Linked DNA regions of Arabidopsis thaliana. The protein of the gene in region 3 interacts with the protein of the main gene of each other region in a pairwise test. Each region holds a gene or a part of one and is shown on either strand. Other genes may lie near its edges.

Region 1 (5,082 bases), on a different chromosome or scaffold from region 3:
AAAAATGAAGTATCATGTCCTTTCTTGATTGACTTCTTGTGAAATACTATATGTTAGGGTCTTCAAAAAAGCAAGATTTGGATGGTTAAAAAGCCCATATTTTTTGGGCCTTAGGTTAATTAGTGCCGATCGATCCTAATAGGATTCAAATTCACCACCACCTCCCTAAGATTAATTAACATCATCTAATTAATTAGGTCGACCTCTTAAGAGATTTATTCCAAATCTATTTGTAGAGTGAGCCTGTGAGATTTTTATTCTCAAAGATCTTTCTCCGTCTGATCATGGAAAGTAGAAAAACTTTTGATTCCATTCCAGATGATCTCTTTGTGGAGATAGCATTGAGATTGTCTTCAAAGTCAATCGCTCGGTGTCGTTGCGTGTCGAAGCTATGGGCGTCCATACTTTACCGTCAAGATTTCACCGAGTTGTTCATAACGAAGTCATCCGCTCGTCCACGTCTTTTATTTGCGGTCTTAAAAGCAAGTGGTTTGATATTCTACTCTTCGCCTCAGTCTCAGAATCCGTCCCTTGAAGTAGATTTTCATAATCATATGAAGTTCCATGAAGACATGAACCTATACATGTGTAGCTATGTCTCTGGTTTGTTCCATATCCCTGTCCATGATATTTGGACCTCAAAGGCTTCAGTTTGTGTGATATTTAACCCTATCACAGGACGCTATGTTAGCTTACCTGAACAAATGGCTACAAAACGTCAAGAAGCTTTTTAGGGTTTGATCCGATTGGCAAGCAACATAAGGTTTTGTGCATGAACAAGAGACTCAATAAAGAATGGGTTCATTATATTCTGACATTAGGAACTGAAAATTTGAAGTGGAGGAAGATGATATGTCCCTTAACCCATGAACCTTATTATGGTAGAGCCTTATCCATCAATGGGGTTTTGTATTACTTTGCTAGGACATCGTGTTTTCTAGTAGTTTCCTTTAATGTTAGGTCTGAGAAATTCAAGTTTCTTGATGGAAAAGACTTCTCTAATTTTCATAGAGAATTTATAAACTACAAGGGTAAATTAGGTGTGACTAAATTGGAGTGTGATGCTGGTGATGGACATCCCCGTGAGTTGTGTGTGTGGGTTCTAGAGGATGTTGAGAAACAGGAATGGTCACAGTATATCTACTCCTTGCCGAAGATTAAGGTCAATCGGATTAGAAACGACAATATTTTCGCAATGTTTTTGCCTTTGACTATATAGAGGATCTTAGTATTGACGATTCGAAGCAACTCAAGTCAAAACCACAACAACGTCGACATGTAAAGAACAAGCAGGCAATCCTCCTGCAGAACAAGTACGATTTACTAGGTAACTCAGAGTGAGGATCTTATCTTGAAAGCCAAGCCAACGAGTCAAGCTATTTTGGTTAAGAGTGTTACTTGTCATTTACAGGTTACTTACGTGTGAGCTTTATCACCCTGTTGGCGTAGAGTGAGAGCAAACTAATATTTTTTTGTATGGTTATCAAAAGGCCTATGAGGTTTTACCTAGGTGAAGAGGGCTCTCTATATCCAATAACTTGATTGTTAAGAAACCGATGTGGTCAATGATTGAATAGTTGAATTGTCAGAATTGATGTTAAAACAAGAAAGTCATGTGATATGAATACCACTGTAGATTGATTAGAGATTTGTAGTTCATTTTCTGTTGAGATCTTATGAACAAAGATTTATGCTTTATTAAAACTAAACGAACACATCAAATATGCAAAAGAATTGGACACTTAGCTTCTTAAATTTGTTTTCTCTCAACCTTTTCAAGGTCTCATTCATAGGTCTGTTTATGCTTCTTCTGTTCTTCTTGATGAGATGCTTTCCTCTAGTACTAATTAAGTCCATCACGTAATATTTTTTTTTTTTTCTAACAACACTAAAAAAAAATTAAAGATAATATAAATTTGGATGGTTATAAAAGCCCATATGTTTCTTGGGTTTCAAAAGGTTAAATTTCAAAATCACCACCCTTCCCCTAACAGAATCTAATTACATAGGTCGAACTTTTAGCAAAATACGACGAAAATGAAGAATTACGCATGATTGCTATATGTGTCAATCCGACACTTCTATAAAATATTATATGCTTTAATTACTTTTTTCTAAATGTGTAATTTTACATGTATATATATTAAACCAAGCTTAATATAATAAAATATTTAAAAGATTTTAGATAGAAGTCATTTTCAAAAAGTGGTGGTACGGTATTAGAAAATGGACATTTTGAAATTTCTCCAAACGTTTACTATTTAAGATGAATAAATTATTAAAAAATGATTTAATTCATTCAACTCAAAATTGAAAAAAATTGACCAAATTATAAAAGTAGTTTGTTCAATTTATTTATCTACTATTTTGCAGAAAAATAAGTTGAAAGTTATTTTAAATTTCCAAAAAAAAAAACACAAATTTGTTTCCTAGCCATTGAGAGAAAGAAAAATCTCAATTATTCCCAGTCATTCATTTACACACAACCATTTTCCACCCCAAAAATTCAACCAAGTTCTCATAAATTTTAGATAGGTTTTAAAAAATAAGTTGAAAGATATTTGAAATTTCCACACAACAAAAAAAAAACAATTTGTTTCCTAGCCATTGAAAGAAAAGAAAAACTCAATTAATCCCAATCATTCATTTACAAAGCCATTTTTCACCCTAAGACTTCAACCAACTTCTAATAAATCTTAGACAGGCTTTAAAAAATAAGTTATTTAGATTTCGTTCTAAGTAGTTCAATAATTTTATAGGTGAAAAAATAGATCGTGTTTTTAAATAATAAATAAAGTTATATAAATACACGTTTTAGCTGCATGATTGTTAGATGCTTTTATATTGGTTTGACCCAAATGAAGAAACCATGGTCCACAATTGTCCCCCTACTAGTCTATATGAACACCTCTTCTCACCACACACACCAAACATTCATCACAATTCCCTAAATCCTACAATCTTTCTTTTCTTCCATCACCTAAGAGTAAACCCTACCTTGCGTCCCAAGTCTCCACCGATAATGCAACCATCCACCAACATTTTTAGCCTCCATGGTTGTCCACCTTCGTACCTTTCCCATATTCCTACATCCTCACCATTTTGCGGACAAAACCCTAATCCATTCTTCAGCTTCGAAACTGGCGTGAACACTTCACAGTTCATGAGTTTGATCAGCAGCAACAACTCGACCTCAGATGAAGCAGAAGAGAATCATAAGGAGATAATAAATGAGAGGAAGCAAAAGAGGAAGATATCTAACAGAGAATCGGCAAGAAGATCGCGTATGAGGAAGCAGAGACAAGTGGATGAGCTTTGGTCACAGGTGATGTGGCTTAGGGATGAGAATCATCAGCTGCTTCGTAAGCTTAACTGCGTTTTAGAGTCTCAAGAGAAGGTTATTGAAGAGAATGTTCAGCTCAAAGAGGAAACCACTGAGCTTAAGCAAATGATTAGTGATATGCAGCTTCAGAATCAGAGTCCTTTCTCTTGCATCAGAGACGACGACGACGTTGTATAGATGATTTTTATTTTTATTTTTTTGGGGCTCTAGTATGTATCAACAAATGTATATCCAGAGATCTGTCTCAGCTTAAGATTTAATTAAGACTCTAAATTAGTAATTGTTAAAGCAGAGTTCTTCAAACTTGTGTTGCCCGTGAATAGAAGTAAGAAATTGTTTCACAATTGTTTGCATAACAAACGATAAAAATTCACATTGCTGAAGTATAATTTTAAAAAAAATTACATGCATAAATATTTTTGCAAAATGTAAATACAAGCATCAATTACTAACAGTAGACTTTCTTCTTTTTCTCTTTAAAATTTTACGTTTATAATGACCAATTTTGTTCTTTCTAAATTGGCTTAAGTAGTGTCTTTGAAAAAAATATACACCAGCCGTAAACGGTTTATTTTCTTCCATTTCCATTTGCATTTTTATGTTGAAAAATTATTAAGAAAAGAATTAAGATTGTGATTAAAATAATAAGAATATGAAAAGCAAATACGTAAATCTAACGCAAACAAAAACAATTAAGACCTTACATGGTTGTGTACTTGTGTGTGAAACTCTCGTAAATCTAATTATGTCAAGCAAAGAAGAGCTTTTATCTGTAGTATTTTAGTACCTTGTATTTTATTTTATTTTAGTACCTTGTATTGGTAGTGCATGGACTGAGGTTTTGCAAGATTTGGCTTAGAAAGCAGTTAATGCTATTTTTTAAAAACCTAAATTACACTATTGATTATTGGTAAATCTGTTCAGCGGCATAAGTAAACCTATAACTTGGATAAAATGTTAAATCAAGCTTACATCAATCTCAGACAAGAAGACAAACAAACAATCTTACGTAAAAGGAGACCCCTTTCCAGTCAAGAAAACAAACGGCTTTTTCTTCGAATTCGTGTGGGTGAGAAACTTACCGGCCAAGAAAACAAAGAGCTTAGCCACTAAAATCACATAACATAATGTAAGTGGAAGACTGAAAGAGACACTTGCGATTGAAAGCCGAAGAAAGAAATAGAGACAGCTTTTCTAAACCACCTCAAAAGCTGGAAATACAATTCAATATAACACACAACACTTTATGGTCAGGACAGGAACAAATGACATAAGTTTTTGTTTTTTTGGTAAGTCAAAATAATAACAGTTTGGTCCCAGTTCTCAAAATCATCGATCCATCTTTTTTCTTTTCTTTTTCACTTTGATTATTGTATAAATATACATCACAATCTCAGCCTATATATAGGTTTGTGCGTGTGTGAGCTAAAGTAGTCTCTGTAGTCTATATATGTTACTAAAGTAACTTCTTTAGTTGAGACAAGTATGTTTGTTTTATTTCTTTTCCTCGCTTCGTTTTCGTTCGATGATTGGTTCATTGGTCTTTGGAAATGGTAGGATCCTATATCATCTTTTAAAAAGCCCTTAAATAATGTATAAGAGATCTTAACTAATATTCAAAGAACTCATTACTAGTTCTAATTCATTTTGATTTTGGATCCAGTGAAATCTAATTTATTAGAAGGGTCCGTTAGGATTTCACATCAAAAGCTAGAAGGAATTAAAATAATATATAAAAT
Region 2 (9,773 bases), 2.8 Mb from region 3:
TATTTGGAGAATTTTAATGTAACTTCTTTCTTTGTTTTCTGTTTTAATTTTCTGCTATTTCAAGGACGTGAGCTATGAAAATAAGATTTTAGGTGGCTGGAGAAAGTTGTGCAAATAAAAAAGTGGCTTGAGAAATATTTCTAATTTTGATTATTTACAAACTTAAATTTTGATTTAGTTCGATGAAATATTAATCATTTACTTGGCTGCCCATGAATCACGATTCATATAGGAAATGTAAAAATAACTTACACATATTTTCTCACACAAACAAATGTGTTTTCAAAACAATAAATAATTTGGTAAGCGTTGTTGGGGTCACTTAAATTATGTTGATATATATAAGGTGGGGAGAGGCAAAAATAGCACGAAGTTTCAATTATGAAGTAGCTGAATTGGTAGAAATAACCAAACAGTTTTGAATTTAGGAAATAGTCCAATTTCTTATAGGCAACAAAAATATTCTAAATTATCCGTTAGCAAAAAATAATATTTATTGAGAAATCACTTGCATTAATTTAGATTAAGTAAATAGTTCAAACAAAAATTTGCGTGCTACACAATTTTCGATTTGGTATCTGATTCTGGCATGATAGATTCCAACATAAGTCTCCATAGATATATATACAAGTGGGCTTTTCACTTTTGCTTTCAAGCCTTCCATTAGTATTTATCCTATTGTGGATTTATAACCTACATAGCATATATCCAACATGTCTCTCTAACTGTTTGTGGGATGGATACGCACGTCAAATCGATTTTGGAAATTTTTTTTTTTTTAATATTTAATATACCTAGGATAATGTAATGACTAATGATACGTTAATTTTAACAGAAAATAATTGTGTTTGTATCTATACAACGTCATTATAATGTATGGCTGAAATTAATTTTATAAGTATAGGTTTAGAAAAAGAGATAGCTGAAGGTGTAGTTGTGAAACTACAGAACCATAAAATTTCGTTTTTTCCATGCATTAGTTGTGTGTGGATGGTTTACATATTACAAACATCGATGATGGTGAAAGGCTATCGGCCGACCGTGAAATCGTGCAGAGGATTAATCTTTGGATTTTAGTAAATATTTTGTAAAGATGATTTGGAGGTTTAGTCATCAGGCATGTTGTCATAACATCAAGGTTTTTTTTAAAACAATGGTATTTTTAAAAATATTATTGTTAAAGGGATATTTTTTAAAATGGGTAATCTAAAAAGCAATTTTAAAAAAATTTCAATAATCTTTGAGTGATAAAGTTTTATTAATTAATATAGATATAAAATAATATTTTGAAAGTTGAGAGTATCGTTTAACACAGAATGAGATATTTCCTAATCAATTAACACAAAATGAAACAACCTCGATTTGCAGCTAGATTTTTGCTTTATCATATCAAGCTTGAGGTAATCTCTAATGCTTTTTTTTTTACGATTTCGTGATGATAGATGTAATATAGCGGTTTCTGCAAAGAAATTTAAAATAATTGATTTAGCCACATATGTTACCAAAATGTAATTATAATTTGATCGATTTTTATGTATTTCATTTGTTTCATATTATAATTTGATCGATTTTTGATATATCGTATGATTAGTTAATTGAATAAATGTACATACATGAAAAAGTAGTCTAAAATGACATAGGTCTCCCCTAAACAACAAATACACACAATATTAAAGAATAAAATTAGAGAGCATCATAGGAATATTATATAAGTATTTAATTTGTCAAATAAGAATATTTTATTTTATTTTATTTTGGCTCGAAATAAGAATATATTGAAGCACAAAAATATGTGGAAGTATTTATGGTGGTGGTTTGGTTCATTGAGATATGACCTTTGGACTCACCTTATCTTCCTATTCTTTTTAGTTTGCTTTCATAAATTAGTTTCCAAATTAACTCCTTTAAAATGTTGATATCAGCCGACATTTCCGTGATAAAAAGTTTTTTTTTCTCTTATAAATAAATAATAACGTTGACAAAAAAAAAAGACAAGAAAAAAAAACAAGGATAATTTCGTAATTTCAGGATGTGTATAGTTTTTTTTTGTCTTTCCTCCTCATCGTTATTGATATGAAGAAACCTTTGCCGATTAAAATTAAAAAGAAGATGTTTATAAAAATACTTCATTATAAAAAAATGATAAATCAAGATTTTAATAACAAAAAAATATTAAAGAAGATTGGTGGGTTAAAAAGGGAGGCGATGAAGAAAGAACAGCGACCTCTTCTTCTCTCTTCCCTCTCTCTTCCTTTCTCTTTGGGAGAGATTTTTTTATAAGTTTTTGGTTTTGCAGAATTTGCTGAATAAAAACTCTCACTAACAGAGAAATATAAAATAAAAAGAGTACTCAAGAAAAAGAAAGCTAGAGAGAGAGGTATAGAAGAAAACGATAGCTATAAGCTCATCATCAATCATTTCTTTAATTCTCTGCAACTCCAAGGTACTTCCTCTCTCTCTCTCTCTCTCTCTCTATACCATATATGTAGATGATGACCGAAGCTGAAAGTGAGAACCTTAAAAGAGTTACAAGAAAGAGATTGGAGAAAAACTGTATAATACCTAGTTGACTCCTCTCTCTCTCTCTCTCTTTCTTTTTCTTGTATTTTTTTTTTGTATGTGTTATATAAGATTCTCTGTGTATGTCTGAATCCTTACAGGATCCAAGAGCTTTGGAAAAAAGATATAATGAATAACAAGATATGGGTTTAGCTACTACAACTTCTTCTATGTCACAAGATTATCATCATCACCAAGGAATCTTTTCCTTCTCTAATGGATTCCACCGATCATCATCAACCACTCATCAAGAGGAAGTAGATGAATCCGCCGTCGTCTCCGGTGCTCAAATTCCGGTTTATGAAACCGCCGGAATGTTGTCTGAAATGTTTGCTTACCCTGGCGGAGGTGGCGGCGGTTCCGGTGGAGAGATTCTTGATCAGTCTACTAAACAGTTGCTAGAGCAACAAAACCGTCACAACAACAACAATAACTCAACTCTTCATATGTTATTACCAAATCATCATCAAGGTTTTGCTTTCACCGACGAAAACACTATGCAGCCGCAGCAACAACAACACTTTACATGGCCATCTTCCTCCTCCGATCATCATCAAAACCGAGATATGATCGGAACCGTCCACGTGGAAGGAGGAAAGGGTTTGTCTTTATCTCTCTCATCTTCATTAGCCGCAGCTAAAGCCGAGGAATATAGAAGCATTTATTGTGCAGCCGTTGATGGAACTTCTTCTTCTTCTAACGCATCCGCTCATCATCATCAATTCAATCAGTTCAAGAATCTTCTTCTTGAGAATTCTTCTTCTCAACATCATCACCATCAAGTTGTTGGACATTTTGGTTCATCATCATCATCTCCCATGGCGGCTTCTTCATCCATTGGAGGGATCTACACGTTGAGGAATTCGAAATATACGAAACCGGCTCAAGAGTTGTTGGAAGAGTTTTGTAGTGTTGGAAGAGGACATTTCAAGAAGAACAAACTTAGTAGGAACAACTCAAACCCTAATACTACCGGTGGAGGAGGAGGCGGAGGGTCCTCGTCATCGGCCGGAACAGCTAATGATAGTCCTCCTTTGTCTCCGGCTGATCGGATTGAACATCAAAGAAGAAAAGTCAAGCTACTATCTATGCTTGAAGAGGTAACGTTTTCACTCAATATTTTTTCTCTAACCAAACTAATTAATTTTCTATCAAACTTTTAATGAACCGTTCTAATGATTGAATTGATCAAACAACCAATTTCATATCAATCGCTACAAAATTTTATTTTTCTTCGTGATTTTTTTCTTCTTATATAATTAATTCTAAATCGACCAATATTTTCATAAACTCTATATATGTTATTTTCTTAAAAAAATAAATGTATAGAGAATGACCGACTGGTACAAGAGCACGACACATGCTCTAGTTGGTAAAGCCTGATTACGCAATCCTACTATCACTTATATAATTTTTCTAACTAATATCATTATATGGTGTTATATGGTCTAATTTGATATATTAATGCATATTTTGTGTCACGCGTTTGGTGGCATCGCTTAATCAAATTTAACATAAGAAATTAATATATGATTGATTAAGTGATTTAGTCTTCACAACCATAAATTTTAAATTAGAGTTTCCTTCTCCATATAAGCTAGCCACCTTCACTACGTAACCAAAACTAGTCCTTGAAGTTACTTCATTATTTATCTTACAATTTATTTTGTAGTTGACATTATCTTCTTTCAAGAATTTAGTATATGTTCCAAGATAGCATAAATTGTTAGCAAGAGAAGATAACACATTGAAGTATCTAAACGAACTAATCACTTGAGGTTTATATTTTATCTTAGAAATTGAGCTAATAAAAAAAAAACAAGAACTCATCTATGTATAGTTCATTTATTTAAAATTTAATTTGTAGGTGGACCGACGGTACAACCACTACTGCGAACAAATGCAAATGGTAGTGAACTCATTCGACCAAGTAATGGGTTACGGCGCGGCGGTTCCGTACACGACATTAGCTCAAAAGGCAATGTCTAGGCATTTCCGGTGTTTGAAAGACGCGGTAGCGGTTCAGCTTAAACGCAGCTGTGAGCTTCTAGGGGATAAAGAGGCGGCAGGGGCTGCATCCTCGGGGTTAACCAAAGGGGAAACGCCGCGATTGCGTTTGCTAGAGCAGAGTTTGCGTCAGCAACGAGCGTTTCATCATATGGGTATGATGGAGCAAGAGGCATGGAGACCGCAACGTGGTTTGCCTGAACGCTCCGTTAATATCCTTAGAGCTTGGCTATTCGAGCATTTTCTTAATCCGTAAGTCCATTTTCTAATCCCTTAATAATACTTACCTACTCTTATTCTTCGATAATACTAATCTTCTTGAATGTTGACTATACATTATAAAATGTAGACTACCATAATGCATTGATACCAAGACTTTAACTAATATACGTTTATTAAACTTAAGTTATGAAAGTGACAAAAAAATTTTTTTTTTTATAACTCTTTTGTTATGCGGGAAGATATATTTCTATTTCAATCAAAATTAAAAGCTGCTGGCTTTTTTAGAAAACCAAAATAATTTTTGTAAAATGAAGTTCCGTTTCTTCACTGAGTTTGATTATTTTATGTTTATTACTACTAATAAAAATTTAAATATCAAATATTTTTTCCTTTTCATACCACCCATAAGAATGGTCAGCTAAGAGTACTCCAAAATAACAAGGGTAACAATTCATTGACTAGGAGACTTTCATGAAAACTGTATGTTTATATTTATATTAATGTAGGTTATATTGCATGGCAAATTAAAGGGTTTAAATAATTAATGCAACAAAAGAAGTTTGCAGAGTGAGATCGCAAACTTTTATGCTTTGGGATCATAATAGCATCCTAAGGGTTTCTCTGTCTCTGCCTAACCTTTCCTTTATAGTTTTTTTTTCTTTAATTTGCTTTAATTCATTCCACATACTATTATCAAAAGAAGTAACAATGCCATTAACATAACTACAAAAAAATAAGTCTCAGATTTGTCAGTGGTACAGTTTCATTGGTATATTGTCCCTTAAGAAAGACAGAAATCAAAAAGAGGAAAAAAAAAATCTAAAAGCTGAAAAAAGCAATTTCTTCTGTCATTATTCATCAGTACTTTCTCTATTTAATGTCTGCAGAATTTTACTATTTTGTTGTTAGTGAAGTAAAGAAGAGAAGAGTTGTACAGATAAATATTTTGCTTTATGATGAAAAATAAGTTAAGATACAAAAATAAAATAAAATGCTTCTATTCTGAAATCAGCTTTTTCTTTTGTCCCTTAGATTCTCACGCCCTTGTAAGGAGAAAGTTTGTACCTTTTCTTGCATCTACTTGATTGTGTTTTTCCTCTCTATCTATATTCAAAAAAAGAGAAAAGAAAAAAATTATTGGTTTAGGGTTCTAAAGATTGTGAAGTCATTTTCTGGTCTCTTTCTCAGGTACCCAAGCGATGCTGATAAGCACCTCTTAGCACGACAGACTGGTTTATCCAGAAATCAGGTCAGCCTTTATCTATATAGATACATACATCAATATTTTTTTAATATAATATGTTTTCATACTTATCATACAAGAACCCTTTTAATTACTCATTTACATATATGTACTTAACTCACAATTTACCATATATATCAATCATTTCATCATGCAAAATCTGACATGAGTGGCTTCATGTCTATTCTCTTGCATGGATTTTCAATATCACGAATCATTTGTTTTTCTTGGGGTTCGTTTTCTTCATTAAATACATTATCTACACTTACACACACAAGGATATATAAAACATAGGAGAGAGAGATGTAAGTATTTCTCAAGTACATGAAAGTTTGAAGCTTTCATTTCAATGTTAACTAGCAGACCTCTAAGTCTTGTACACATTAATTATTTACATCACAAGTAGTTTATTACACTTGGCTTCAAATATCCATTAGTATATTTCAACCTTCAAATTGTTGTTTTAACATTATTATGTTTCATGTGTTCAAATAAAAAAACATTATTATGTTTCAAATTTTTAATTTAGAAATTTCATCTAAGCCTTTCAGTAAATACATAAGTTAACATCAAATCAAAATTACTTGAAACATGTCAAAAGTTATCTTGTTCTTGTAAGAATATAATGAAAAATTTAATATATATCTTCTTTTTAATAGATGTCTCAAAGGAAACACATGTATCATAATTTTTACTCCTTTCCTATCATTTTAACTTAAGGTTTTAGCTATCCTATTTTTTTTGTTTCATTTGTTTAAACTAATTTTCTTCACAGTAAATGACTTATTATTTTAACTTTACTTAATATAAAACAAATGAAGTATATACAAAAACAATCAAAACCATATTTAATGTAAAAAGGAGTATTTCACATTTCATTGAAAAGTTTTTTTTTCCTTCTAAAAGTTAAGTTTCTTTTAATATTATAAACTTGTTAAGAGTAAATTGTGATTAATATTAGTTCATATGTCTCGTTTTTTCAGGTGTCAAATTGGTTCATAAATGCTAGGGTTCGCCTATGGAAACCAATGGTGGAAGAGATGTATCAACAAGAAGCAAAAGAAAGAGAAGAAGCAGAAGAAGAAAATGAAAATCAACAACAACAAAGAAGACAGCAACAAACAAACAACAACGACACGAAACCCAACAACAATGAAAACAACTTCACTGTCATAACCGCACAAACTCCAACGACGATGACATCGACACATCACGAAAACGACTCTTCATTCCTCTCTTCCGTCGCCGCCGCTTCTCACGGCGGTTCAGACGCGTTCACCGTCGCCACGTGTCAGCAAGACGTCAGTGACTTCCACGTCGACGGAGATGGTGTGAACGTCATAAGATTCGGGACCAAACAGACTGGTGACGTGTCTCTTACGCTTGGTCTACGCCACTCTGGCAATATTCCTGATAAGAACACTTCTTTCTCCGTTAGAGACTTTGGAGATTTTTAGTCTTCTTTGTTTCTCAATTTATTCATCAAAATTTATTATAGTGAATTTTATTTTTTTGGTTTATCGATATATGTTTTTAGTTTCTTCACATACTTTTAAAATTTCCTTTCTTCTTTAGTTTTTTTTTCTGTCTTTTCTGTCGTAAGAAGAAGAGAGATATACATATATCAAGTGAGATCTAGCTACCAAAGTTCCATATATAATTATGCACATATTTTTATTTTATTCATGAAACTTATATCCTTACATTTTTGTATAGTTTTGTTCATACTAATTTTTTGTTCATATTAATACCCCTGCCAAATTACTCTAAATTTTGTTTTAGATTATGATTATGTACATATATTTTCTGGAAACTAAATTTCGTGTAGCATTTATTGGATTCTTCCATTTGATTTTTGCTAATAAGCGACAACAGTCTTTTAGGAAAGCGCCAATAAGTCACATCACTTTCCTTGTAATATCAAATTAATCATCTCAACTAATCCCTACTTACTACAACTATGTGCTCCTTAATTTAGTAATAGCAACAAAATATACTTGGTACGTACCCGATCGACTTATTAACAATTGTATTATCTTCAGTTTATAGTAAAATAGTTAAGAAAAACGTGACATATTTGTTTAAAAAGAAAACAAATAATCTTTTGAGTTAGGTTCTTTAGTTTTTTTCTCTGAGAAACAATTATCCAAAACTCCAAAGGTTTGGTTACATGTCATATTGGGGGATATGTCAATCGAGACGGAGACGTTTTAGTTCTACAAAGGGACATTAAGCTCATTGCCATGGTGCTACTCATTACTTTTTGTAATAGGACTCATTACTTGAATTGTTTACAAAGGGTTTTCTTAAAAGTCACTTCAATTATTTTAGTAAACAATAATATCTACGTTTCACCTAATTCCTTACAACTAATAAATTTCTATTCGAAGTATTTTATATACTCTATTAGGAGAGTATGATGACACTATAATTGGCAATATAAATCTTACATGATTTGACATTTCATGTTTTAATAAATGTCTTTGGTGAAACCAATAACCCGGAACAGTATTTAGGGAGCAACATACTTTCAAGTTAATTTATCGATCCACCGGTCCATAAAGGTAATAAAAGTTATAAACAAGACTATAAATTAAACTCAAACAAAATGATTTTGTACAACAATTTGTTCGTCTTAAACTATTTCCGTCTTATATTTTTATGACTAAATAAAGGTGCAGCCTGAAATTATAAACTCATTAAATGCATATGATATGAATTTACTAAATACATTTATTTCAATCGTATTGTGGTCCATTTTTTAACCCTTCTTGTCTGACCACTGTCCTTTAGCTACCATACTCTTATAAAAGAATATATAAATTGGAAATTTTCATATACAGATTTTATTCATTATTATTTTTGGCTGGTATACAAAAGCACAATATAGCAACTTCTTTTGTCCTTTGTTATATGAAAAAAAAAAAACTAAATGCAGATCTGAACGTGACAAGAAAATCAATATGCATGAGTGTTAGATTCTTGATTTTAATATTGGAGGCCCTGCCTTTTAATGATCCATACGCAAGCCTATATATTTATTTGCTGTCAAATTCATTGACAGACTCTGTGTCAATGTCATGTTTATAATTTGTTTTGCATGGTTTTAGCCCGCATGATGGAACTTTCTGTGATGTATCCATCACAAAATTTCAACAATATCTTTTCGAATTTGTATGTTTTTTCATGAGACTTGATATAGCTATACAAGTTGGAATACTTGATATAACTATAAGTTGGAATGGTTACAGCAGTTAGGGATATATATCTATTTGAACCATTTTAGTTTAGAGATAAAATTGATCTGCAGCGGTTTGTTATCTGTTTTAAAAATAGAGTTGTTTAATCAATTAACGGTTTAGTCCGTTTTTTCTATTCATCCATTCAAATCCTATGTGGTTAGACTGGCCTCTAAAAATTTGGGTTTGTGTCAACTTTGAACACACTATAACTTCCACCTAGACTAAGGATAGTATTTGTTAAATAACGCAATTTGATTGTTTCTTTCTAAAATAAGAAGTATAGTGATCAGGTTATTTAGCAAAAAGAAAATAGTGTTGCGATTTCTAAGAAAAGTGTTTCTGTTTTTATATTTTTGAATGAATTATGTGTTCACGGTTTATTTACAAAAATATTGTTACGATGTTTTTGAAAATGAAAAAATCATAAAGATATATATATATATATATGCTTTTTCATATATTGAAGAAATTATAGAGAGAATTGTTAGACTCTTAAAGAA
Region 3 (5,861 bases):
CTTCTTGGCTGTTGCTGGCGTAAGAGGTGATTGCATAAACTTGGAGTAATCATCATCGTTCACACTAACTGCAATGGCAAAATAAGAGAACAAAGAGATCAAGAAGCTGATAAAATTTCAATGTTAAAACAGATTTTGTAGCGAAGTTGTCTTACAAGAGGAACTTCTATGTTTGGCGTTGCTCATCTTATGGTTCTTGCTTGAATTGAGGAAACAGAGACAAGAACAGATTGGCTTCTTGGAATGATGATGTTGATGTCTAGGTTTGACATTGCCATGACGGGCACGAAGAGGTCTAATAAAGACAGGTCTTTTAACTCGGAAGCGGAAGAGAGAGACAAATCTGTTGCATGATTTCGAAAGCTTTGATTTGAAGTTAATCAAAGTTGCTTTCACTCTCATTGTCTTGAAGCTTTTTTGGTGATGATGTTGTTGTTGTGATCCTCTTTGGCTTCTTGTTTTGTTTTGGTGTGTATAAGGTTAGAGGATTGGCTTGTGTTGCGTGGAGTTCACGTCTTTGGGTGTGAAACTGATCATGATGGTGGAGTCCCATGAAGTTTTTAAAAACAATGGAGAATAGAAAAGGTTTTCTTATTGCAAATGTTTGGTGGCTCTTGCTTATAAACAAAATCCAATATGATGAGATAGTTTTGTTTTTGTATACTCAAAAAGTCGTTGATATATTGGTAGGTCAACATTGTTGAACATAAACCAGTCCCACGTCTAGTGAAAATATCTCCATTTTTTAAATATGAATAATCACTTGTGCTTATTTAAAGTAAGGATGGAAAATGTTTTATTTTGATTTTTGAATATCATTTTTTTCCTTCTCGAAGTTAAAAGATAAGTAGTTGCCAAAACATTTGATCTGGAAAGTGGAAATGTATAGAAGAAGAAAAAAAGTGTCCTCAAAATGTTCGGCGTTAGTGGACAAAGTAGACCAAAAAATTTCTCATATTCATTATTATGACTCAAAAGTTGATCCCACTTTATTCAGAGGAGAAAATGGAACATATTTGATTATCTTAATTTCATCATTTGTGTATCTGTATCACCTTAATATAACATAAAGTGCTACTATACTAAATTATTTCTACCTAAAAACTTAAGATAAGGTTCACACTTTACCAAATTCAAAGAAGCATCGAAATGAAACTATTGAACTTCATTATAACGTGTACTTTGAGTCTTTAACCTAGATAGATTCACATATGTTAAACTTTTAGTTGAATTGTGAAAACTTTGTTTTTATTTATTAAATTGATTTGTCCGTTTAGAAACGTTTTAATATTTTCAATCAAAAAGCATACTTCGAGGAAAAGAAGCTGTATTTTTCTTTTGTAATTGCCATTTGGTCAACCTTTTTGTGTATTCTTTAAAACTGTTTACATTTGCTACTGTTTTATAATTCGCTAATTACATTTTTCAGTTATTTTATCATTTCGATGAAGAGTAAAATCTCCATGAAATGATGATAGAAATCTGTCAGAAATCAGAAGCAACTGATTCTCTGTTTTATAATTATTTTTGTACTATTCCCTTAATTATATAATATTTTAGATAAAAGTTATGTTCTTATGATTTTCAGTTTTTCACCAAATACAATTTCAATTAGTCAACCAATTTTAAAAATTCACCATAAAATAAATTTATTAATTATGTGAGCACAAGCGTGTAAATGTGATGTCTCAAGTTGATGTTGATGATGAATGATGATGATACTAATAAAAGACATTCTTTAAGCTTTTTCTAGTAGTAGCCCCACTAGTTTCCAATTTTAATCTTCAGTTTCTTCTTTATCTGTCACATAGAGAACTTTGCTTTCTCACCTTCTTCTTTATCTAAGGAAACAAAAACAGAGTTTTCTTAAGAGAAATATCACAAACTTTTGTGAAAAAGAGAGAGACAAGATGGGGAATTACAAGTTCAGAATTTCAGAGATGCTCCCAAATGCATGGTTCCACAAGCTCAAAGACGTGACTAAACACTCTAAACCCAAAAACAAAGCTTCTTCTTCTTCCTCAAACACTTGTAGCAAGAAGAAACCTTCCTCAGATTCTCTTCCTCAACACTCTTATTTCTCCAACAGCTTAGTAGCTAACAATCCTCCTCACCATAACTCACCAAGAAACTCTCTTCACACAAAAAAGATGAGTAAAAGAAAGACACTTTACAAGCCATCCCTTAAACCTTTGACTCCTCCTCCTCTTCTTGTATCTGCAAGTTTCAACAAGAGCAAGATCAACGATCAAGATTCGTCTTACAGCTTGTTCCCGGCTATTGAAACCTCCCCTGAGTCTTTTGTGTATAGTTTCTACGAAGAGGATGATGATGATGAGTTCGTTGAATTTTCCAACTTCAAGATCAACACAAAGAACAAAGCTTTCACCAAGCAGAAGGTCAAAGTGATTGATTCGGTAGAGAAAGCTTGTACTGCAAGCAAGCCGATTAAGAAACCGCAGAAAAGCCATCTTTCTGTGAAAATTTCAAGAGATGAAGATGATAATGAATATAAAGCCGAGAAGAAGTACCAAAGGCAAGTTTCTAGTGGAAGAAAACCATCTGCTGGGATAAACCTCAAAAGAGTGAATTCACCTAGAATTCAACTCTCAGGTACTCGTAGAAGCACTTCTAGAAGATCAGAGAGCAAACAAGATGTTCTAGAGAGCTTCGCTGTGATGAAGCGGTCCGTTGATCCAAAGAAAGATTTCAGGGAATCAATGATTGAGATGATAGAAGAGAACAACATCAGAGCTTCGAAAGACTTGGAAGACCTTCTTGCTTGCTACCTTACTTTGAATCCAAAGGAGTATCATGATCTTATCATCCATGTTTTCGAACAAATCTGGCTTCAACTTACAAAAACAAAGTAAAGAAAAAAATAATTCTTAATGTAATAGTAGTTAACCTAATGGTGAAAGTAATTAGTATCATTCTGCTTGTGAAATTGTAGTTGTTGACTTGTTGTTGATGTTCATAAGAAGTTAGATGGAACTGTGGAGATTCTCTCTTTGAATCCCACTTTTTATGTATTGTTTTCTTTATTTATCTTTTTGGAAAATGTAAGCAAATAATAAAAGTTGTTATCATATTGTCGTTTTAATACAAACATGATCACTAAGGGCGTGAAAACACTGTTAATTAAGACAGATTTTTTTATCACTAATTAAACATATTCTTGTCTTCTCTATGATTATGAACATATAAAACTACTCACAAAAGATGATGCTTCAAGATTTGATTATTTCTTAGAATATGAAGATGGATTAATTGCGCCAATATCATTTGAATATTTTGAAAATACAAAGTTGAAAATGGCGGTAAACAGCAACAAGAAAAAGACAACAGTGAAGAGACATGAACAATTTGAAAACGCAACAAGTACGGAGTTTATATATATGCATGAAGAACATTGGATAATCGTTGAAGGTAGAGAGAGGACCACTGACACATAAAACTGAGATGTGATTAAAGAAGAAAGAAACAGTGATGAGATTTAATCCTTAAGGGTTTTTTTTTTTCTGTGAAGAAGGGAAGAATGAACTCATGAAGAAGAAGAAGAGGACCACTGTTGCAAATTCCATCCCCTACCACAGTTGGCTTATGAAGTTTCAGCAAAAGACATGTGATATGGTATGGTTTCTGACTTCTGAGTGAACATAAGCAACAAATATTCAAATCAATGGGCCTAAATGATCTTGCAGTTTTGGATTATAAAGTTAAGAATTAAAAAGAATAGGTGATATATGTATCATAATTTTAAGTTTTAAACAAGTATGTCAGACAAAATTCTACATTCTAATTTTATACATAGATATGAGATAACCTCATAACCATAAACTACACCAAATTTTCATGAACAAAATATGATTCACACGAACTTTTTTCTATCTTGATCACCTAGCTAACTTGACAAATTAGTTGTTCGTCTAAAACTACACAAACATTCAAAGTTCGTTTTAAATTCAATATATTTAAAAATAACAGTTAAAGTTTTATTAAATGGCATTCCAAATATTGATTCCTTCTAGAAAATTTGTGTGGTTTTAAATTGTGAAATTTGGATCTAGAAAAAATAGCAAGTGTGGTTTCTTGTGACCTATGGTTGTTAGTGTAGTTGTATACCATTTTTTAAAGTTACATTGTAATTTGTAAACCATTTTTGTGTGGTTGACAAAAAAAAAACCTATGACAAAATTGCTCCGTTTTTATTTTCAATAACAAATTATAATGTAAATTAATATGTATCATAGTGTTTTTAATAAAAATATTTAAAATTAGGATTGATTGTTCTGAAAAAAATAACGCAACTAATACTTTGTTAGCAAATACTAACGTTTACGTACCAAAAAAGCATTATGTAAATCCATTCATCCATCATTGTATACTTGACTTTCTACATTATTCTTTTGTTGTATCAAATTTAAAATTAATGAATGAACTTGACATAATAAAACACAAAATATATACTTAAATTGTACGATATAAAAGTTTGATTTACATATTTTATATCTATAAAAAAGGGTAAATAAATGAAATAAAACTTTTTTTTTTTTTTTTGTCAAAGAAATGAAATAAAACTCAAATTACATTTTTATGTCGTAATGCGAGCACACAAGTGAGTGCATATCCAGTATTAAGTTTTTTTTTTAATAATTCAGAATTGAAAGCAAAGGAAAAAGAAGAAATCGAAATCGGAAACTGTATATTGTTGTTCTTCGATTCCTCCTCGCTCTACGCCGCGTCCTCTCTCTCAAATTCATCGGAAGCAACCTTCTTCTCCCATCATCGCCTGGTTCGTTTCTAAACCCTACTTCTTCTATTTCACAGTATATCTTCCTTTAATTTTCAATCGAATCTAGCTTTGTGTCGATCTCAATGTAGATCGGAATCAAGTAAAAGAAATCGATGAATTCCAAAATGTTCCCGATCTATTGCAATGCACGAATCGTAGAATTATCACCTACATTAGTCTTGATCTAATCGCCCTATTTCAATTTCAAATTCGACATCGAAGTTTAAAGGAGATCGCAAAACCTAGTTATAGAATCGTTGCGTTTGAGTTGTTTCGCTGGTGATGTAGAAACCCTAATTTTGGTTGTCCTGTGTTTGGTACTTGCTCAGAATCCAATGGCAACGATAAGGAACTTGAAGATAAAAACATCAACATGTAAAAGGATTGTGAAAGAGCTTCACTCTTATGAGAAAGAAGTTGAGAGAGAAGCGGCTAAGACTGCTGATATGAAGGACAAAGGTGCTGATCCCTACGACCTTAAACAACAGGTACAGATTTCATTGTTTATCTCTCTGTATTCGAAGATTCGGAGCCCGTCTTTGTTCGTCAGAATCTAGAAATGCTGTGTTGTGCTGTGTTTAGACTTGGTTTTTCCTAATCTGTGTATGTGGTGATGCAGGAAAATGTGTTGGGTGAGTCTAGGATGATGATTCCGGATTGCCACAAACGTCTCGAGTCTGCATTGGCTGACCTCAAGTCCACTTTGGTAAACTACATTTTCCATTGTTATTGCTTGCTAAGCGTCGGTCTAGCTTTATGTATTAGTTTATAAGAAACGCTGAGCGGTGATTTGAAGTTTAAGAGCAGTAGTACATTATCAAACTATAACTTTTATATGTATCTATAGCGATTGGATTAATCCCCTGCATGAAACCATCTTAGTCTCTCTTTGAGGAAAAATGATGAATAAGGACACAGAGGAAACTGTGAATTCGTACTCTGTCTTTTGTCTCTAATGAAAACTGAATTTGCAGGCGGAATTGGAAGAGACGGATGAGAAGGAAGGTCCAGAGATCGAAGATGCAAAGAAGACAGTCGCGGATGTGGAGAAGCAGTTTCCCACTGA
Region 4 (9,798 bases), on a different chromosome or scaffold from region 3:
ATACTCAGCCGCTGTAAACGGCAAGGAGGTTCCAGAGACGGTTGATTGGAGACAGAAAGGAGCCGTTAACCCCATCAAAGACCAAGGAACTTGCGGTAATTACCAATTATGCTTTTTCCTTTATAATCAAACTGATATTATTAACGAACGTCTAATATTTACACATGGTTCGTAACAGAACAAACTTTTGTGTTATATTTTGTGTAACTTAACATGTAACACATGCAGCATGTGTATTGATGTTAATATTTGTGTTTGTGTATTGATCAACACAGGAAGTTGTTGGGCGTTTTCGACTACTGCAGCAGTAGAAGGTATAAACAAGATCGTAACAGGAGAACTCATATCTCTATCAGAACAAGAACTTGTTGACTGCGACAAATCCTACAATCAAGGTTGCAACGGCGGTTTAATGGACTACGCTTTTCAATTCATCATGAAAAATGGTGGCTTAAACACTGAGAAAGATTATCCTTACCGTGGATTCGGCGGAAAATGCAATTCTTTCTTGGTATACACTCAAAAACAGAGTTGCTCTGTTTTCACTTTATTTTCAAGAATTGCAAAATCTGATTATTTTTCCTATCTCTTTGTGTTTTTGCAGAAGAATTCTAGAGTTGTGAGTATTGATGGGTACGAAGATGTTCCTACTAAAGACGAGACTGCGTTGAAGAAAGCTATTTCATACCAACCGGTTAGTGTAGCTATTGAAGCCGGTGGAAGAATTTTTCAACATTACCAATCGGTAAGCGAACCGACATTGATTTGTGTATTAAGTAACAAAACCGGGTTTTTGGATTTTTATTAACCTGATTGGTTTTGGTTGGCAGGGTATTTTTACCGGAAGTTGTGGTACAAATCTTGATCACGCGGTGGTTGCTGTCGGGTACGGATCAGAGAACGGTGTTGACTACTGGATTGTAAGGAACTCTTGGGGTCCACGTTGGGGTGAGGAAGGTTACATTAGAATGGAGAGAAACTTGGCAGCCTCCAAATCCGGTAAGTGTGGGATTGCGGTTGAAGCCTCGTACCCGGTTAAGTACAGCCCAAACCCGGTTCGTGGAAATACTATCAGCAGTGTTTGAAATCAAGACGCTCGATAAACATTTGGGATTCTTATAACTGAATTTAATCTCGTATTGTTATTATTGTTTGTATGTATAGTATTTCAACAACAATTTCAAAAATTAGTTGATTCATCATAAGGATATAAAATTTATAAATCCTTATGTCGATCAATTTCTTTTTTATTCAAAGAAAGATTGTTTGCTTGTTTTATGTATTAAGAGAAATATAATAAAATGATATATTTCTTAAGAGCCATTGGTTTTCACTCCTTCATCCAACTAACAACATAACAAAAGTCGGTTTCTTCTACTTCTCCTCAATCTTCTTCTCATCAATTTTCATTATGCACCTCAAAAACAACATTTGTTTTTCTTCTTGTTTTCACCTGCTCTAGATGTTAACTAAGTGATCTGATAAAATAAGGTTTAAGCCGCATGTTCATAAATTCATTTTAGTCATATCTAGAAATGTCGGTGAGAAATTTATAAAAAACTGCATGAACACTGAACACATCTATAGAAACTTGTGTGATATCTATACAAAAACAGATACGCTAAAGCCCAATAAAAGAATTTTGGGCCTATCACTTTCCTTATTGATGGCCCAAACAATTGGGTCACCTCTTCAAGCTTGTATCATGGATTCATGGTAAGTGAATCTATATGATTGTAAATCAGTGATTTCGAACGATTTGGGACTGTTATGTTATAAAGTGAAGGTTTTCATTTTGAACAATTAAAGAAATCTCGAGAAATTAAATAACCAAGAATACAGATATATGAAAACAATAAGTCGTACAACGTACATTAGTTTTCGAAGGGATTTACGTATCGTTTTCTTCTCTTCACGAGATAGAAAAAAAAAAGCAGAGGAGGGCTAGACTAATGTATTGTTTTGACTTTTAAGAGACAAAAATAGATTTTCAATTAAAATAAGTAAGAATGGAAACTATAATTAATTAATTAAATGGAGTGACAAAAGCAAACTAAAAACCCCCAAACTCTCTAACGCAGAAAGAAGCGTCTTTGTCAGGCATGTTTCCAGCGTGGCGTAAACCAAGCGTGAGAGACACGTCACCAGTAGGGTTTGTCCCAAACCTTATAACGTTAACACCATCCATGTCAGCATCATCGAACCCACCTACACTTTGTTGACACGTGGCAACGGCGGAAAACGCGTCTGAGCCACCGTAACGAGAATTCAAGTCGTCAGAAACAGCGGCAGGAGCGGCGGCGTTGGAATAAGAGGAAGGGAGTAGAAGTGATGAAGCGTCGTTTTCGTAAGCATTAATGTTGGATCTTAGACGGTGGCCTGTCGCTACTGCTGCGTCTGCGTCTGATGCGTCTGGTGCGGTTGTCGTTGGAGTTTGTGAAGTGGTCCGAACGGCAGTGAAGTTGCTTTCATTGTTGTTGGATTTTGTGCTCTTGTCGTCGTTGCTGTTTTTTGTTTCTTGATCTTCTTCGTTCTCTTCTAATTCCTCTTCTCTTTCTCTTTCTTTTGATTCTTGTTGGTACATTTCTTCCACCATTGGTTTCCATAAACGAACCCTAGCATTTATGAACCAATTTGATACCTGAATAAAAGAGACAAAATTTTCACTAGTTGAATCATTATAATATCGAAATAAAATTGAGGGCTCTTTTTGTTTATTTGTCATTTGGTTATTTAATGTAGGGATACAAGAAATTGAGGGTTTCTTTGGGACAATTGAAAGCTGCAAACTTTGATGTACTTGAGGAAAAATGGACCCTTTTGCGTCTTTAATGTCGATCTCTTTCTCTCTCTCCTATGTTTTTGTATATATAAATATGCTATAATAATTTAAAGACGAATCCCAAGAAAAGCTAATGGTGAGTGGAAGGCAAAACACATGGTGTTCCTCTGTCATATCACAAACCAAACAAAGATAAGAAACAAAAACCATGCAATAGAGTCATCTCAGGCTACTAGTTAGTGTACTCGTACATGGTGTCAAATAATTTTGGCTTAGTCAAATTCGTTTTGAGTAACTACTAGTATTTATTATTTGATGTTTATAACAAGCATGTATATGTTTATGAAAATTATGAAATGGGTTTGGGTGATAAATTAATATTGTAGTTATATATATAACTGTGTACTATTGTGGAGTTTATTTATAAACATAGAATGATGGGTTTAAAACAAATCTTTAAAACACGCGGTTAAGAATTCGTAATCCAGACTGTGGTCATTTGATTGTCTGATTAAGAGTATACTCAGCTAACACAACTTGGTGAAGTAGAGGCATATGTATTTGATTCATGGAGATTTTAAATTTCATTATATCGTTGGCTATATGTATATATGTAGACTGACCTGATTTCTGGATAAACCAGTCTGTCGAGCCAATAGGTGTTTATCTGCATCACTTGGATACCTGAGAAAGAGACCAGAAAATGACATCACTCTCTATCTTTGCCCTAATAAACTCAATGTAATTTATTTTCTTTATCTTTTCACTATATACAATACAATCAAGTAGACGCAAGAAAAAGTACAGACTTTTTCCTAACAAGGGCGTGAGAATCTAACAGACAAAAGAAAAGTTGATGATTACATATCATCGATCCAGTTTTTTTTTTTTTACTTGGCTTTTTTTGTTTTGTTTTACTCTTAAAGCAATTTGTCAGAGAGGTGAAAATAGTACAAAAACACTACTCTTTTGCTTTATTTCCATTTTTTCGTTCACTCTCGTTAACAATAAAATAGCAAAATTCTAGAGACATAGTACTAAAGAAAGTAGAGGTGAAATAACGAGAAAATAAATACTTTTTCTCAGCTTTTTTCAAAATTCAGTTTCTCTATAATAATTAATAAATAACGAGAAAGAAAGAAAAAATTGACTTACGGGTGAAGGAAATGTTCGAAGAGCCAAGCTCTAAGTATATTGACGGAGCGTTCAGGCAAACCGCGTTGTGGCCGCCAAGCTTCTTGTTCCATCATACCCATTTGATGAAACGCACGGTTCTGACGCAAACTTTGCTCTAGCAAACGCAAACGCGGAGTTTCACCTTTTGTTAACCCGGAAGAAGAGATTCCCGCTGCATCTTTGTCCCCAAGAAGTTCGCAACTCTGCTTAAGCTGAGCCGCAACTGCATCTTTAAGGCATCTAAAATGTCTTGACATAGCTTTTTGAGCCAATGCGGTGTACGGTAATGCCGCACCGTGGCCCATTACTATGTCGAAAGAGTTCACAACCATCTGCATTTGCTCGCAGTAATGGTTGTACCGTCGGTCCACCTGCCAACGAAACAAAACTATACATTATACAATCCATAAATATCAATATTTGCCTTTTTCTTTTAATTAATGTTATTGTTAACTCGTGTGTGTTGTGTTATATGTTCACGTGATTATTATTTAGTGTAGATTTTATCACGGGAACCTATGCTTGTGTACGAGCATCATCTAATAAATAAACTAATGAGATTAATTAGTTACCTTTAAACGAGACAAAATAAGAAAATAAGATATTATATAGACAAATTATTGACCAGAGAATATACTTCAATGTTTGCGCAATCCTACCAACAGCACATTTTATCGTATCCTCGAGCATAAACTAAAATATTTATTTCTAGTGAGAAAAAAGCAAGGTCAACTAAAAAGTAGATAATTCAATTATGGGTAAACAAATAAGTAACGTCAAGGGTTAGCTTTAGGACGTAACTGGAGAGTAGCTTATATGGAGAAGGAAACGCCAATTACATAATTAATCGTAATTATTTAATGCATTTTCTTTGATTAATCGATTCCACCAAACGCTAAGCATCAAAATATTCAATATACTTTCTAATACGACCGTCACACGAGCAAAATGATTAAATTAATTTTAATTTTAAACAAATGATGGTAGGATTGCGCAATCAAACTCTACCAAAATAATCAAAAATAAGTAGTTAATCGAGAAAACAAAAGACCAATTCAGTCATATCAGGTTTCTTGTTTCTTTGTCATAACTCTTGGATCAATTTATGAATCTTATCGAAATGTAACGAAAACAATTTTACGTAAAATGTATGAACTAATATCACTGTAGAGTATAGACAAAGTCAAAATCAATATTAAAAGTTAATATGAACATACCTCTTCAAGCATGGTGAGTAGTTTCACTTTCCTTCTTTGATGCTCAATCCGATCAGACGCCGATAAAGGAGGATGCTCCTTGTTTGCTCCGGCCGACGAAGGAGAGCTGCCACCACCATCACCACCGCAAGTATTAGGGTTTGAGCTGTTCCCAAGTTTGTTCTTCTTCAAAAATCCTCTTCCAACACTACAAAACTCTTCCAACAACTCTTGCGCGGCCGTTGTGTACCTCGAGTTTCTTAAGATATTGACCGCTGCCATGGAAGAGGAAGAAGCAGCCGGAGATGATCGGAATTGGTTTAATACTTGATGGTGATGTTGAGAAGAATTAGCAAGAAGAGTCTTGAATTGATTGTATTGATGATGAGGTGATGCGTTAGAAGAATTGGCTCCGTAGTAAATGTTTCTATACTCTTCCGCTTTTGCTGCAGCCTCTAAAGACGATGAGAGAGATAAGGACAAGCCTTGTCCTCCGTGTCCTCCGCTGTTTTCCACGTGGACGGTCCCAATCTCCGTTTGGCTGTTGTGATGATGATGATGATGATCGGGAGAAGACTGCCACGTCGATATCTGCTGGTGATGCTGATGTGGAAGCTGATGCATAGACATATGATTAGTGTAGTTCTGATGGTGAGTTGTGTTGGTGGATGGACTTGGAAGTAACATGTGAAGAGTTGAAGAATTGTGGTGGCTCCTTGGGGAAGTTGTGGATGACGGAGACGGTGGTTGTTGCGGTGGCGGTGGATTCATCAAGAATAACTGCATGGCGGCTGCGGTGGCGGTGGCTGAATCCGTAGCATTCATAGCCGGAATATTCTGATGTTGCTCCTCAAGCAACTGCCTATTTGACCGGAAAGATTGGCCGAGGTCGAGATCTCTTCCTCCACCGCTGCTTCCGGGGAAATTAAACATTTCGGATAACATACCGGCTGATTCGTAGACCGGAATCCTACCTCCGGCGACTGAAGATTCCTCGTCCATCTCTACCCTTTGATGCTCTTGCTTCTGCTGAGTTGTTAAATTGGGAGAATCTGATCGGTCGAATCCATTAGAGAAGTTGAAGATACCTCCTTGGTGTTGATTATGATGATGATGATGATGATAATCTTGGGACATAGAATTATTGTGAAAAGTCTTCAAGAGAATTGTAGTATTAGGAGAAGTTTTAGTTATTCCCATATCAATACTTCAATCTTTTTCTTCATGATATATGTTAATATCGTTCCAGAGCTCTCTCTCTCGGATCCTGTAATGATTCAGACAAAGAATTTAAAACATATGTAAGTCAGAAACTAGGTCTTACGCTGTTTTTTTGTCCATCTATCTACATCACCTATATAACTGATGATGAACAAAGACATAGAGATATATATATGTAGGTATCTATATATATGTATGTATGCAAAGAGAGAGCATAAGAAGATAATACCTTTGGAGTTTGTTGCAGAGAAGATAATTGAGCTTAGGTATCGTTTTCTCTCTCTCTTTCTCGCTTTCTTTTTCTGGACTCTCCTTTTCTTTCTTACTAAGAGTTTATTCAGAATTCACAAATATTATAAAAGATATATATATCGGAAAGAAAAATATGCGAGAGAGAGGTCACTCTTCTTTCTTCTTCGTCACCCTTTTTAGCCCACCAATCTTCTTTATTAGTTGGTTTCCTATATATATATAAAGCTGCTCGTGCAAAAAAAAAATCGGTGATTTTTTAAACTATGGTTTCTTATGAAAGATTTAGTTGAAAAGGTTAATAGTAGGATTGAAGGATAGAAATTTCTAAGATGCGTCTTTTTTTCACGTAAATGTCTTCTGCCATTAACAATTTGAAGATGTTTATTTTCGTAATTTTTTTTTTTTTTTTTTAAGTGAGTACAAGGTCATATCTCAATGATACGAACCACCACCATAAATTTTAGTAATACTATCGTGACAAAAAAAAAAAACATATATAATATTTAAAATACTGCCATATTTATATTTCCCATAATACCCTCATCTGTCATTCTTCTGATTTCACTGGACTGACTCGCAGATAGGGTCAATTAAGTCCATATTTACGTAACTGGTCATTGTTGGTGCATAGCTCCCCAGTCCTCATCAGCATAATTTAAAGTCTACACATTTATTTTAAATGTAGCATATCTCTATTATCTTAACCTGGAATACCCTAAAAGATCTTCGTAAATAAAAAACTTCATAAAAAAAAAAAAAATCTTCTTAACGTTTGTTAATTTTTTTTTTCTACTACATCAAAATTGAATTTACTTACTTTATGCGAGAATATGACTCTCTAAAACTCCGTACGACTGGTCGTAATCACAACACCACAACAAATTAATCTCATATAATCAATTGATTTTAAGTTCTAACCACAAGTTAATTATCCCTTCCAATCGACTTTTCAGGGAAATGACAAATTAGTTACATATTAATTAGCATTTTCTAATGATAACATAATATATCCCACATACATATATACCAATACAGTGTTAAATAAAATGTAAGCTGTATTTTCTAACAATTAGCATGGCCGAAGTAATAATACTCATGCAAAATAATGCAAAGGCTAGAAAAAGTATATATTCAAACTATTTTTTCCGGCCATCGATCTTGTGATCATAAATTAAATTTTACTACTTGAGGGTCGAGTACGATGTAACTATGAATGGCTTGAAGGATAATGTAATGAAATTCGGTGTGCATTTTTTTTGTTTGGTGTATCAAATAAACAATAAAAGATGAGAGTTCGCACGAGCGGGAGTTGTGGTTTGGAACGTGTGAAAGGTAGGAGGACGGTTCAGAAGTCAAGTGCTCAAAATGTTAATTAGGTTTATGTGGGGGATAATCTAGAAAACCGATGAAATCGACACATAACCGTTTTTTTGGTTCAACAGCTTTGAGTTCGAGTACTTGAGTTTCTTTTTTTGGTATGGCTAGACTATATTTTTAATTCCATGGTTAATATATAGATATCGGAATTTCTTTCTTAAAGCGGTGACATATTTCGTATCACGTCTGTCTTGCTAAAAAAATAGCATTCCCAAATTCGAGTTTTGGTGCATATCCCACAAATGGTTAGAGAAAGTATTAGATATCGCACCGTAGGCATAAGTCCATATTGGGATAAATAATTAATGGAAATGTCGAAAGCACAAGTGTAACTCCACTTATATAATAACATTGAATTTTGTTTATTGTGTGACACCATGTGGGAATCTTTCATGTCAAAATCATATCAGCACGCAAATTCTGTTATTTTTTATTTTTTATTTTTACACAGTTAATTCATGTCGGAGTAGTAATTAAAATAAAATAAAATAAAAACACTCTGTTTTTCCATTTTAATATTCCCTAGAAACGTAAAATTTCATAAAAATACGTTGCAGGTTTTATTTTAAAATTATAGCTACAAAAGTTTTATGTTCCAACTACAAAACCTGGAATGACAATTGACAGCTTAACCTTTCTACCTTCCTACCGATATTTTTTCTCGTTTTCTATTTTTTCCTTTCTGAAATAGAAATGGTTCAATCTCTCTCACGTGAATCCCACCCTCCTTTCACACGTATGCACAACTATCTGTTACGTGCCGAACCTTCCTTTTTCGTACGTGTGGAGAGGATCTTCTTCTTAGGCATTTATACTCTTTACCCACCAAAGCCAACTTGTAATGGATCCTTTTTCCTCTGCTTTATCATATCTTCAATGGTGTCAATTGTCTAACCTTCAACATATTTATTAGTCTCTTCATTTTTATTTCGACACGTTTCCGCTTTTCGACCTCACATGAACATTCAATTTCATAGTATCGAATATTTTGATTGATTTTTTAATTTCTGCGTCTTATAACCAAAGCTATGTAATGTGTTTAACTGTTCATTATCATTGAAATGTGTTCGTAGTTTAATGTAACCGGTGTATTTTGGATAGCTCTTGGATCAGAAAGTGTGATCATGTTGTGAGGTTGAGTCATTTCGACAACACAAAGGAGACTAATTTACTTGCTATGATCAGTAAGAATGTAAATCTTTAGTTGATTTTTTTAAGGTTTTAGATGAATGTATAACCTATAAATTTGGTCCTACGAAAAACAAAAAACATGAAAGCAAAGACAATGAGTCCATAAAACAAAATGTTTGCTACCAAAAATCACAAACTTATAAAGAAATATTTACACAATTAGTTTTTCACGAAAACCAAATGATTATATATATACAAACTCGTGGTGATAAATTATGATTAAATATGAAATGTTATTATATATTGCAATGATCTGTTATATCTGTCGTGATAGGTTTCATATTACCTGACTATAACAACGTTGATTTCCAGATCCTGTTTTCAGACAAAAGGATCATGAACTAAGTTATTGTTGAAAAGGCTTTCATCGGGTTTGGTCTTTTAAGTACGTTGAAGGAAAAATTATGAGTTATCATCCAGATTCGATAAAATTAGAGTTAGGTTTGATTTGATTAAATGTGGTGCAATTGCAATTTGTTAGAAGATTAAAGTCACCACTTTCTCTAAAGGAGATAAAAAAAGGTTTGATTAGCCAAAAGCTATTACAAGGACTCATAATATAGTCTCATAGCCACGTAGGTTTGATTTATTGTCTAGTCAATA

What was found.
Region 1: the proteins of OFP2 (region 3) and bZIP43 interact in a two-hybrid assay, tested with the Arabidopsis thaliana proteins (one large-scale study listed by BioGRID).
Region 2: the proteins of OFP2 (region 3) and BLH4 interact in a two-hybrid assay, tested with the Arabidopsis thaliana proteins (one large-scale study listed by BioGRID).
Region 4: the proteins of OFP2 (region 3) and BLH2 interact in a two-hybrid assay, tested with the Arabidopsis thaliana proteins (one large-scale study listed by BioGRID).

The regions. Positions count from the first base shown.
Region 1 is NC_003076.8:15,536,743-15,541,824, reverse strand, and holds bZIP43 (basic leucine-zipper 43), read left to right. Parts: upstream 1-2,935; 5' UTR 2,936-3,022; coding exon 3,023-3,520; 3' UTR 3,521-3,684; downstream 3,685-5,082. Other genes in the region: AT5G38810 (F-box and associated interaction domains-containing protein), read left to right, coding at 285-603, 735-1,219. UniProt on the Arabidopsis thaliana protein: Probable transcription factor involved in somatic embryogenesis. Acts as a positive regulator of BHLH109.
Region 2 is NC_003071.7:10,105,666-10,115,438, reverse strand, and holds BLH4 (BEL1-like homeodomain 4), read left to right. Parts: upstream 1-2,433; 5' UTR 2,434-2,553; exon of another isoform or gene 2,554-2,660; 5' UTR 2,661-2,702; coding exon 2,703-3,659; intron 3,660-4,426; coding exon 4,427-4,818; intron 4,819-5,820; coding exon 5,821-6,037; intron 6,038-7,014; coding exon 7,015-7,488; 3' UTR 7,489-7,730; downstream 7,731-9,773. UniProt on the Arabidopsis thaliana protein: Transcription factor that establishes leaf shape by repressing growth in specific subdomains of the leaf. Negatively regulates knox homeobox gene KNAT1/BP expression.
Region 3 is NC_003071.7:12,954,682-12,960,542, forward strand, and holds OFP2 (ovate family protein 2), read left to right. Parts: upstream 1-1,763; 5' UTR 1,764-1,910; coding exon 1,911-2,873; 3' UTR 2,874-3,126; downstream 3,127-5,861. Other genes in the region: OFP17 (ovate family protein 17), read right to left, coding at 1-68, 156-402; KIS (tubulin folding cofactor A (KIESEL)), read left to right, coding at 5,131-5,283, 5,415-5,501, 5,770-5,861.
Region 4 is NC_003075.7:17,365,979-17,375,776, reverse strand, and holds BLH2 (BEL1-like homeodomain 2), read right to left. Parts: upstream 6,863-9,798; 5' UTR 6,605-6,862; intron 6,599-6,604; exon of another isoform or gene 6,422-6,598; 5' UTR 6,355-6,421; coding exon 5,176-6,354; intron 4,330-5,175; coding exon 3,938-4,329; intron 3,467-3,937; coding exon 3,406-3,466; coding exon of another isoform or gene 3,382-3,405; exon of another isoform or gene 2,950-3,381; coding exon of another isoform or gene 2,890-2,949; exon of another isoform or gene 2,642-2,889; coding exon 2,054-2,641; 3' UTR 1,766-2,053; downstream 1-1,765. Other genes in the region: CP1 (cysteine proteinase1), read left to right, coding at 1-95, 276-511, 605-745, 831-1,085. UniProt on the Arabidopsis thaliana protein: Transcription factor that establishes leaf shape by repressing growth in specific subdomains of the leaf. Negatively regulates knox homeobox gene KNAT1/BP expression.